2 linked regions of the Macaca mulatta genome follow. The protein of the gene in region 2 interacts with the protein of the main gene of each other region in a pairwise test. Links are inferred from orthologs where the notes say so. Each region holds a gene or a part of one and is shown on either strand. Other genes may lie near its edges.

What was found.
Region 1: the proteins of BBLN (region 2) and THAP11 interact in a two-hybrid assay, tested with the Homo sapiens proteins (2 studies listed by BioGRID and IntAct). The link is inferred for Macaca mulatta from reciprocal best matches to the Homo sapiens genes BBLN and THAP11.

Annotation. Positions count from the first base shown.
Region 1 is NC_133425.1:63,412,461-63,417,659, reverse strand, and holds THAP11 (THAP domain-containing protein 11), read right to left. Parts: upstream 3,195-5,199; 5' UTR 2,172-3,194; coding exon 1,242-2,171; 3' UTR 883-1,241; intron 795-882; 3' UTR 547-794; downstream 1-546. UniProt on the Homo sapiens protein: Transcription factor, which has both transcriptional activation and repression activities. Also modulates chromatin accessibility.
Region 2 is NC_133420.1:19,530,964-19,536,306, reverse strand, and holds the start of BBLN (bublin coiled-coil protein), read left to right. Parts: upstream 1-2,224; 5' UTR 2,225-2,318; coding exon 2,319-2,397; intron 2,398-3,157; exon of another isoform or gene 3,158-5,124; coding exon of another isoform or gene 5,125-5,133; intron 5,134-5,343. Other genes in the region: CIZ1 (cip1-interacting zinc finger protein), read right to left, coding at 5,125-5,133. UniProt on the Homo sapiens protein: Essential for intermediate filament organization in intestinal cells, interacts with intermediate filament and regulates intestinal lumen morphology.

The DNA of each region.
Region 1 (5,199 bases), on a different chromosome or scaffold from region 2:
CTCCCAACTTCTTAATGCCCCCTGTGGATACAGATCTGTCACACCAAAGGTGTACCAAGGCCAAGGTATCTATACAAGAGTCCTTGTGCCTGAAGCAGCTTTGGCTAGCTCCAGCTGTGGTCTTACTGGTTCGTAGAGTAACTGCATGCACATGCATACCAGAGGCTGTGCTAAGCCTAAGGGATGTCATGGTGAGCAAAATTCAATCCCAGCTGAGAATTCAAAACCCTCAGAGGCGAACTATCACAATATAGTTTAGTTAGCAGTTGGTCCTTGTTGAAAGGATACAGGGAGATAACCCACGGACAAACTGGGCCCATTTGGTGCAGTTTCCAAACTCTTTAGGGTGAGCTGGGCCAGGAACTCTGTGAGGACCTTGTAAGGCCAGGATCCATGTGCTTAGGGTCCATTTTTGGAAAAACCTGGTCACTGAAGCATCTCTACTTTCAGGGTCAGCCTGGTCCTTCAAATAGGCTGAGGCCTATTTCCCCATGTTTCAAGGACATTTAACTATGTTTTTGTAAAAATAAAATGGCGAGACCCAAATAAAAACCTTACTTTTTGTTTAATTTGTTTTGCCAAACAAACACAGTGAAAACTTTAGTCTGACTAATTGTACAGAAAATAGAATTTGTAACCAGTAGCAAACAAAACAGGATAAACCTAAATCCCTGGCAAGCTGGATCTCCATCAGCAGGTCATCCAGATCCCCTTGTAAATGGTCTCCTGGGAAAATAAATCCTAGGAGGCAGAGGCACAGATTTACCAGTCCCCATCAGAATCACAGGCTGCACCTGGGAAGGAAAAGCATGAAAAGGAGAGCTGATGTTACTTGCATCTCTTATCACTACACACATTAGAGTTGTCTGACTGCTGACCAACCTTAAGGTATGGTTTATTCCAAACTCATAGTCCCTGGACATATCACCTGCATCCCTAGAGGGTAAGTTTCAAGTTCAGTGGTTCTGAAGCCTCTGCTTAACCAGAATCTGCAACAATAACTGGGGAAGAAGGGTAGACAAAGTCATAATTGCTGGTGTCACCAGGGCAGAGTCTAAGGCCCCAGCTTCCACTTCAGGAGGAAACAGTTGAGGATGCCAGGTCACCAGCAAGAGAGTCCAGCTGCCTTAAGCCTCAGTACTGTCAACCAGTGCCCCAGGAGTATAGAGGAGTTCAACAATGGCCTGCAGTCCCCTGGCTGGATGGGGTCTGGGAGTCCAGCAGGCCGCCGGGGCACCAGTTCACATTCCGTGCTTCTTGCGGATGACAGCCATGGCAAGCAGCCGATCCTTCTCGCGCAGTTCTTCGCGAAGCTTGGCCTCGGTGAGACGCAGATGGCGAATGCTGCCTTTCATCTCTTTCATCTTCACTTCCATCAGCGCCAGGATGTCCCGCTGCTCATTCAGCTTGCGCAGGAGCTCCTCCTCCGTGGTGCCTGACGACAAGGAGTACGAATGGTCGGAGCCAGTATCAGGGAAACCCTCTTCTCCTACCACCACCAACTGGGGGCCCATAGGGCACTCGGCAGCCTCCAGCCCTGCGGTAGCAGCCTGTAACTCCGACGCGGCGGCCGCAGCGGCTGCGCCCTCTGTGGCTGCAAACTCAACTTGCACTGTAAGATCGATGGGCTTCACGTCTTCTCCAGTGGGAGTGATGGGCGTCGGCGGCACGGATCCCGGAGCCTGACTGCTGTCTACAGCGGCCTGAAGGGTAAGAAGCACGGCCGCGGAAGCAGACACCAGGTTCGGCTGCAGCTGGGAAGTCTGGGCAGTGGAGGCAGAGGGTGACGGCTGCTGCTGTTGCTGCTGCTGCTGCTGCTGTTGTTGTTGTTGTTGTTGCTGCTGCTGCTGCTGCTGCTGCTGCCTGCGGCGGGCGGCCGCGGCCCCAGCGGGTCTGCGCGCTACTTTGCGCTCATTGACGCCGCGCAGCGGGAAGATGGTGGGGACGCGTACCGTGTAGGTCTTGCGGCCGCCCTGGAAGTGAACGCTGCAGAGACGGTGGCCTGTGGTGGGCTGGAAGGTGGAGAAGCACCCACTGACGCCGGCACGCGACACGTTCTTGAGCCAGAGGCGCCGCAACTCAGCGTCCTTTGGAAACGTGTAGAAGTGCAGCGCCTTGTCTCGGTGCGAGTTGTTGTAGCAGCCTGGCACGCAGCACGTAAAGCCAGGCATGGCTGCACCGCGCGGCCCGGCCCGGCCCACCGGCCTCCTGCGCCCTTCGACGGCCCAGTGGCTCCGCCGCCGCCCGCCCCTCGACGGGCGGCGCCGCGCGAGGCCTTGGGTGGTATCCCACCACTGCCGCTCGGCGCAGCCGGCCCGCCCGGCGCCCCGTGCCCAGAATACGCTTCCTGCCGGCCCGCGCCGCGCCGCCCGCCTGGCTGCCCGCCTGCGCTCGGGAGTCGGCCCCGGGGACGCCGCGAAGGACCGCCTGAGAAAGAGACTACGCCCCCCACAATGCCCCGCGCCAGGAGCCGCTCACTTCCGGGGCGGGTGTGTGCGGATTCCGGCCGCCTTCCAAGGCACGGCGCCAGCTTCCGAAGATCGGATTCTTTCTCCAGCCCGGCTTGTCCCCGGCGGGCGAGAGAGGCGTATTAGGTTGGAACGCTGTCGCCTGGACTGCTCCTTACGAGGACCCGAATCCTGATAGGGGCGTGGAGAGGGGCGGTGCGCGCCTCACCGGTGCGCAAGCGTGGTGGGTATATGCCCACGGAGACTACAAATCCCGTGATGCCTCGCCCTGAACTGGGCGCCTGCGACCCGAAGCGCCGCCTAAGGGAAAGATCGAGTTACTGCGGACCAGTATTCGGGGGAGGTTGTGCTGTTTGCCAGAACCAGTCCCCCATCCCTGAGCGCCTTTGAGTCGACGGCATTGCTGCAGCAGAGGGAGACGAAACCTGGGCCTCGGCGCCCCGAAGGGTCTCAGGAGCCCCTTTGTCTGCGTTGGGGACTCTCTCCTGATTCAGCTGCTGCCTGCGTTGACTCCCTGACCTAAACAAAGTCTCCAGTAGACGCCTACTATGTGGCTGACCCAGTGCACGGAGTTTCCGGGAGTCAGACCGACTGGGCTCCTCTCTTGGAGCCTGACTGCCTAGACGGATGAGCCTCTGTCTTTTGGATAATAGATCTGAATGCACGCGAATGGATGTCTACTCACAGAAAGTAATCGCTCTAAAGGAATGAACAGGAGAGCAGAGAAATGGAAGCGGGGGAGGGGGTGGCCAGGAATAAAGAACGAAAGCTTGGGTAGGGAGAAGTACCCAGTTCGTGTCCCGGGAACCAGTCTGTAAGGCCACATGGCAGAAAAGAGCTAGGCTCCCCCCTTAAAGAACCTGGAAGGGGGTGGCCCAGGTAGACCAAGCGTAGGAAAATACCAAACTGGGACATGTTAAGGATTTGGGGTTTTATTCTGCAGGCCACACTGAGAGCTATTAAAGGATTTAATGCGAAAGGATTTGCATTGTAACAATACACCTCCCCCCATCTCAACTTATTTGAGGGAAATTTTTGTGTGTGTGTGTAAAGGAGTCTCACTCTGTCGCCAGGTTGGAGTGCAGTGGTGAGATCTCGGCTCACAGCAACGTCCGCCTCCTGGGTTCAAGCAATTCTCCTGCCTCAGCCTCACGAGTAGCTGGGACGACAGGTGCACGCCGCCATGCCCGGCTAATTTTTTTTTTTTTTTTTTTTTCAGTAGAGAAGTGGTTTCACCATGTTTCCCAGGCTGGTCTCGAACTCCTGCGCTCAGGCAATCCGCCCGCCTCGGCCTCCCAAGGTGCTAGGATTACAGGCGTGAGCTAGTATCACAGCGCCTGGCCGGGGGAAAATGTTTTAAAGAACACAAAATGTTGTGGAAAGCCAGGGAGGGGCCAGGCAGTCCTTCAGGGGAATTACCTGCAAACTAGCCCTCCTCTGCCGAGTTCTTCCTTCTCCCAATTTTTTAAAAACTTATTTTTGGTTCGGGGGTACGTGTGAAGATGTATTGCATAGGAGAAGTCGTGTCACTGCGATTTGTTGTACAGATTATTTCATCACCCAGGTATTAAGCCCAGTACCCAATAGTTATCTTTTCTGCTCCTCTCTCTCCTCCCACCCCCCTCCCTCAAGTAGACCCCAGTGTCTGTTGTTCCCTTCTTTGTGTTCATGAGTTCTCATCATTTAACTCACACTTGTGAGAATATGTGGTATTTGGTTTTCTGTTCCTTCATTAGTTTGCTAAGGATAACGGCCCCCAGCTCCATCCATATTCCCACAAAAGACATGATCTTGGTCTCCTCCCAATTTTTCTTGTCTTTCTTTACCCTTTCACCTAACTCTCACTCCTCATTTTTTCTCTCCTGGTAGCAGGTCACAGGCATGAAATGGAAACCTAATATACATTATTTCTAATTATAGTATTTGACATAAAAACAAAATAGGGCCGGATGCGGTGGCTCACGCCTGTAATCCCAGCATTTTGGGAGGCCGTGGCGGGCGGATCACGAGGTCAGGAATTCGAGACCAGCCTGGCTGATATAGTGAAACTCCGTCTCTACTAAAAATACAAAAAAATTAGCCGGGCGTTGTCTCGGGCACCTGTAATCCCAACTACTCGAGAGGCTGAGGCAGGAGAATTGCTTGAACCTAGGAGGTCGAGGTTGCAGTGAGCCGAGATCACACCACTGCACTCCAGCCCAGGTGACAGTGCGAGACTCTGTCTCAAAAAAAAAAAAAAAAAAAGCTGTGCTTGGTGTCTCAGGACTGTAATCCCAGCACTTTGGGAGGCCATAGCAGGCGGATTACTTGAGGTCAGGAGTTCGAGACCAGTCTGGCCGACATTATGAAACTCTGTCTCTACTAAAAATATAGATCCAGAAATCCAGAAAAAATCCAGAAATGCATTCTCTACTATGTGTAGCCCCTGGTAAAACATATGCATTCATTTAGGCGAATCATTTATACAAGAGTATAAACATGAACACACATATTACATGTTTATTTATGTATTTATTTGAGACAGAATTTCGTTCTTGTTGCTCAGGCTGGAGTGCAGTGGTGTGATCTCGGCTCACTGCAACCTCCACCTCCTGGGTTCAAGAGAGTCTCCTGCCTCAGCCTCCCAAGTAGCTGGGATTACAGGCGCCAGGCACCACGCACAGCTAATTTTGTGTATTTTTAGTAAAGACAGGGTTTCACCATGTTGGACTGGCTGGTCTCGAACTCCTGA
Region 2 (5,343 bases):
AATCAGTCAGGTGTGGTGGCATGCACCTGTAATCCCAGCTACTCGGGAGGCTGAGGCACAAGAATTGCTTGAACCCGGGGAGGAGAAGTTGCAGTGAGCTGAGATCATGCCACTGCACTCCAGCCTGGGCAACAGAGCGAGACTCTGTCTCAAAACAAACAAACAACAAACAAACAAAAGTAGGTCTGCTCCAGGCCAAACTTTCTTTTTTTTTTTTTTTTTGGAAACGGAGTTTCTCTTTGTTGTCCAGGCTGGAGTGCAGTGGTGCAATCTCAGCTCACTGCAACCTCTGCCTCCCGGGTTCAAGTGATTCTCCTGCCTCAGCCTCCTGAGTAGCTGGGATTACAGGCGCACGCCACCACACCTGGTTTATTTTTGTATTTTTAGTAGAAATGGGGTTTCGCCATGTTGGTCAGGCTGGTCTCAAACTCCTGACCTCGTGATCCGCCTGCCTCAGCCTCCCAAAGTGCTGAGATTACAGGCATGAGCCACTGCACCCGGCCTCACATTTAATTTTTTTTATTTTTATTTTTTGAGATGAAGTATCACCCTGTCACCCAGGCTGGAGTGCAAGGGCACGATCTCTGGTCACTGCAACTTCTGCCTCCCAGTTCAAGTGATTCTCCTGCCTCAGCCTCCTGAGTAGCTGCAACTATAGGGGTGTGCCACCAAACCTGGCTAATTAAACTTTTTAAAAATTAATTAATTATTATTTTTAAAGACAGAGTCTCACTCTGTCACCCAGGCTATAGTGCAGTGGTGCAGTCATAGCTCACTGCAGCCTCGAACTCCTGGGCCCAAGTGATCCTCCTGCCTTAGCCTCCCAAGCAGCTGCGACTAAGGTGCATGCCACCAGGTCTGGCTAATTTTTTTTGTACTTTCTGTAGAGATGGGGGACTGAGTCTCACTATGTTTCCCAGGCTGGTCTCCAACTCCTAGGCTCAAGCAATCCTCTCATCTCAGCCTCCCAAAGCGCTGGGATTACAGGTGGGAGCCATCCCGCCTAATGTTCCTGTTTCTCTTGTCCAGAGCTGGAGTCCAGCCTGATTCCCACCCACAGGTTGTAAGCAATGAGCCCTAAGAGAAGCGCTGGCTGGCTGGGCGCGGTGGCTCACGCCTGTAATCCCAGCACTTTGGGAGGCCGAGACGGGCGGATCACGAGGTCAGGAGATCGAGACCATCCTGGCTAGCACAGTGAAACCCCGTCTCTACTAAAAAATACAAAAAAATTAGCCGGGCGAGGTGGCGGGCGCCTGTAGTCCCAGCTACTCGGGAGGCTGAGGCAGGAGAATGGCGTGAACCTGGGAGGCGGAGCTTGCAGTGAGCTGAGATCCGGCCACTGTACTCCAGCCTGGGCGACAGAGCGAGACTCCGTCTCAAAAAAAAAAAAAAAAAAAAAAAAAGAAGCGCTGGAGACCAGGAAGGCCCAGATCCAGGGGTAGGGGTGTTGGGTGTTCTCCATTGGGGTGCAGGCAGAGAGGCGAGGAGGAAGGAGACCCTTCGTGACTCTCAGCGAGGCTGTGAAGAGGAATGTCCTGAAGCCACAGGAGGTATGGAAACCCCGTTTCCAAGGCTGGGCCCAGTAGCTCATGCCGGTAACCCCAGCATTTTGGGAGGCCGAGGCGGGTGGATGGCTCGAGCTCAGGAGTTCGAGAGCAGCCTGGGCAACATGGCGAAACCCCCGTCTCCAAAAAATACAATAGCCAGCGTGGTGCACCCGCCTGTAGTCCAGCCACTCTGGAGGCTGAGGTGGCAGGATCGCTTCAGGCTGGGAGACAGAGGTTGCAGTGAGCCGAGATCACCCCACTGCATTCCAGCCTGGAAGACAGAGCCAGACCCTATCTCAAAAAATAACAAGGAAACCCGTTTTCGATTTCGCCCAGGCGGAGGGGTCGAAGCAGCAGATGGGCTTGGGAGGTCTCCCGCCCCTCCTCCTGGACCTCCCTACTCCTGGGCTTTTCCAGGGACAGCACCGTGGTGGCCCCGCCCAGCGCCCAGGAGACGGGTGAAGCCAGCGGCGGAATGGGCGGAGTTCGACTGTGAGGCAGGTGGAGGTGAGACTCCGGCGGTGGGGGCGGAGTCTGGACGCGGGGCGGGGGCGGAGTTCCGGCTGGGGGGCGGGGCGGGGCGGAGCGAGATCTGCGGGATTCCGGCTTCAGGGGTGGGGCCCCGGCCTCTGGGCGGAGATCTGCTGCCGCGTTCCACCCTTCCGGCCCGGTGTTCTATCCACCGCCTCCACCTTCCATCCGGCGCCGGCTTTCGGCGCGACGGTCGCCGCGTTCCATCGTCGCGCGGCCCTTCGGGCGCCCGAGCCCGCAATGTCGGGCCCCAACGGGGACCTGGGGATGCCGGTGGAGGCGGGAGCGGAAGGCGAGGAGGATGGCTTCGGGGAAGCAGGTGACCCGAGGGGGCTGCTGGAGCAACCTTGCTTTTTCAGGGCTGCCCTCCCGGGAAGGGGAATCGGGATGGGGTCTTGGAAGGGAACAAAGAACCCACCCCATTCCGCCCCGAGTGGGTCCGGAGTTGTAGGTGCTGTCTCGGATGCAGGGCGAGCACCCGCGAGCCGGTCGCCAGCTCCGTGAGAGCTGCGGGTCACCAGTCCCCTTTTACAGATGGGGAAATTGAGGCACCTTCGGGGACACTCGCCCTTGTGGGCCTTGCTCCACCACTTCCTTCAGTCCTGGGGGGAGGCCGAGGCACCTGAGGCAGGGTTGAGCTTGGCCGGCTTGGCTTAGCGGAGAGGCCGGGCTGGGGCGTGGGGTTGGGGGGGCGCGGGGGCGTCGCTCTGCCGAGTCAGCATCCCCAGCCACTTGGCTTTGCTGGTGTAGCCTCGCAGCCTTGCCAAATGTCAGCAGCTTACAGAGCAGCCTTTTGCGTGCTTACAAGTGCAGGGGTGGGGTGTGGAGAGAGAACCATCAGCTCCCTTCTCACATTCTTCAGCCTCAGTTTCCCCCTCTATAAAATAGGAATAATGATTAGTGTCTCCTGCACCGGGATGTGTCAGCATTAAATACAAAAAATAAATGGGAAATGCTTAGCAGGTTCTAGCATGCAAGAGTTCAGTAAATGGTTATTGTCATTATTCTCTTTGGTAAAGATTGGCATGTTAACATACACTGAGGATTTAGTAAATGTGGTGTAAGTATGGCGCATGCTCTTTGTTTTGTTTGGGGTAACAGCTTTATTGAGCTATACAACTTACCCATTTAAACTGTACAGTTCAGTGGGCTTTTGTGTATTCCCAGGGCTGTGCATCCATCACCACAATAGTTTTAGGTAGGTTTGCATTGGGCAATGCTGTTGGGAGCATCAGGAAGAGCTTCCCAGGAGGTCACATTGAGTGGATGCTGGCAGACAGGACTTAGGACAGTGGTGTCCCAGGCAGAAGCAAAGGCTTGGAACTGGGAAGTACCCTTGACACAGATAAAGCCTGGCCTGGAGGGGTGTGGGGCACCTGCCTCCCCAATTCCTCCTCCCAGCCTGTATCCCAGGACACAGAATTCAAAATATTGATAATAATGATCATCCACTAAGTACTTGCTGTGGCCAGATCCTGTCTGAACTCTTTTTTTTTGAGTTGGAGTCTTGTTCTGTTGCCCAGGCTGGAGTACAGTGCATGATCCTGGCTCACTGCAACCTCTGCCTTCTGGGTTCAAGCGATTTTCATGTCTCAGCCTCCCAAGTAGCTGGGACTATAAGTGACCACCACGCCTGGCTATTTTTTTTTTTTTTTTTTTTTTGAGACGGAGTCTCGCTCTGTCGCCCAGGCTGGAATGCAGTGGCCGGATCTCAGCTCACTGCAAGCTCTGCCTCCTGGGTTTACGCCACTCTCCTGCCTCAGCCTCCCGAGTAGCTGGGACTACAGGCACCCGCCACCTTGCCTGGCTAGCTTTTTGTATTTTTTAGTAGAGACGGGGTTTCACCGTGTTAGCCAGGATGGTCTCGATCTCTTGACCTCGTGATCTGCCCGTTTTGGCCTCCCAAAGTGCTGGGATTACAGGATTTTTATATATTTTTAGTAGAGACAGTGTTTCACCATGTTGGCCAGGCTGGTCTCGAACTCCTGACCTCAGGTAATCCACCCGCCTTGGCTTCCCAAAATGCTGGGATTACAGGCGTGAGCCACCACGCTGGCCACTGTCTGAACTCTTGATATGTTTGAATCCTCACGACCACCCAGTTTTCCCTTTTTTCCAGAAAGGTGCAACAACTTGCTGGGGTAAAGCAGAGCTGGAATTCAAACCCAAGTGCCCCTGACCTCCAAGTCCAATCCTGAGTTTCAACTCTGTTACCAACCTGGAGGATCCTGGGCAGGTTCCTTCGGAGGCCTTGGTTTCCCTAGCTATATACCACGAGGGGGTTGGACTTTAAGATGCAGCCAATTTCCCAGGACTCTGTCCTCTGTGAGGGTGGCTGGGAATGGGTGCCCTTTCCCAGAACACAGGCACAAGTGCACCCATAACCCAGATAGGCTCCTCCAGCTCCTCCACTGGCTGCTTCCCTCTTGGTCTCAAGCTGGCAGCTGAGTGTATCTGAGTCATGGGCTGGCTCAGAACTGGGTCCCGCAGTGGGCACAGGCCCAGACCTTGAGTCCTCAGGGACACTGTGTTGCTGAGCAAGGCAGCTCTGGAGTGGCCGTGGAGGGGAGGGAGTGATGGTTTCTAGTGGAGATCAGGGAAGACTTCTTGGAGGAGGCATTTTGAGCTGGTCCTTGATGGGCTGTTGTGGTTGAGGCATTCTAGGTTGCAGGGATAGTTGAGCAATGGCGGAGAGGCTGGAAAGTCAGAGGCTTCATTCATTCACTCACTCAGTCATTCAACAAATGCTTATTGCAAAACTGTGAGGGTGCCAGGGAGCCAGCAGCGAACACAGGACCATTCAGCTTTCATGGGGAAACAGAACAGCACTCAGATAAGCACAGCAGTCAATCCTGGAGAGGGTCGTGGAGGGCTGAGGAGGGCTAGGGGCTCAGCATAGAGGCCTGATCCAGTCTGGGGCATTGGGTGGGCTCCCGGTGGTGACATCCATACTGAGACTTGAAGGATGAGTGGGACTCATCCAGGAGGAGAGGAGGGAAGGAAGATGGGAGGACCCAGCACATTCCAGGCAGAGACAGCAGCATGTTCAAAGGGCCTGAGGTAGGTAAAGGCAGGTGTGAGAGAGGAAAGGAAGAGGCAGGGAGGCAGGGCTAGCTAGGAGGCAGGGGCTGGGAGACTCCGCTGGGTGTTTTACCCTGAGGGAGCCACAGAAGGGCTGGCAAACAGGGCCCATCTGGGGACAGGGGCCTTGAATGCCCAACTCAGGAATGTGGGCTCTGGCCACTAAGCAGCTGCTGCAGAAAGT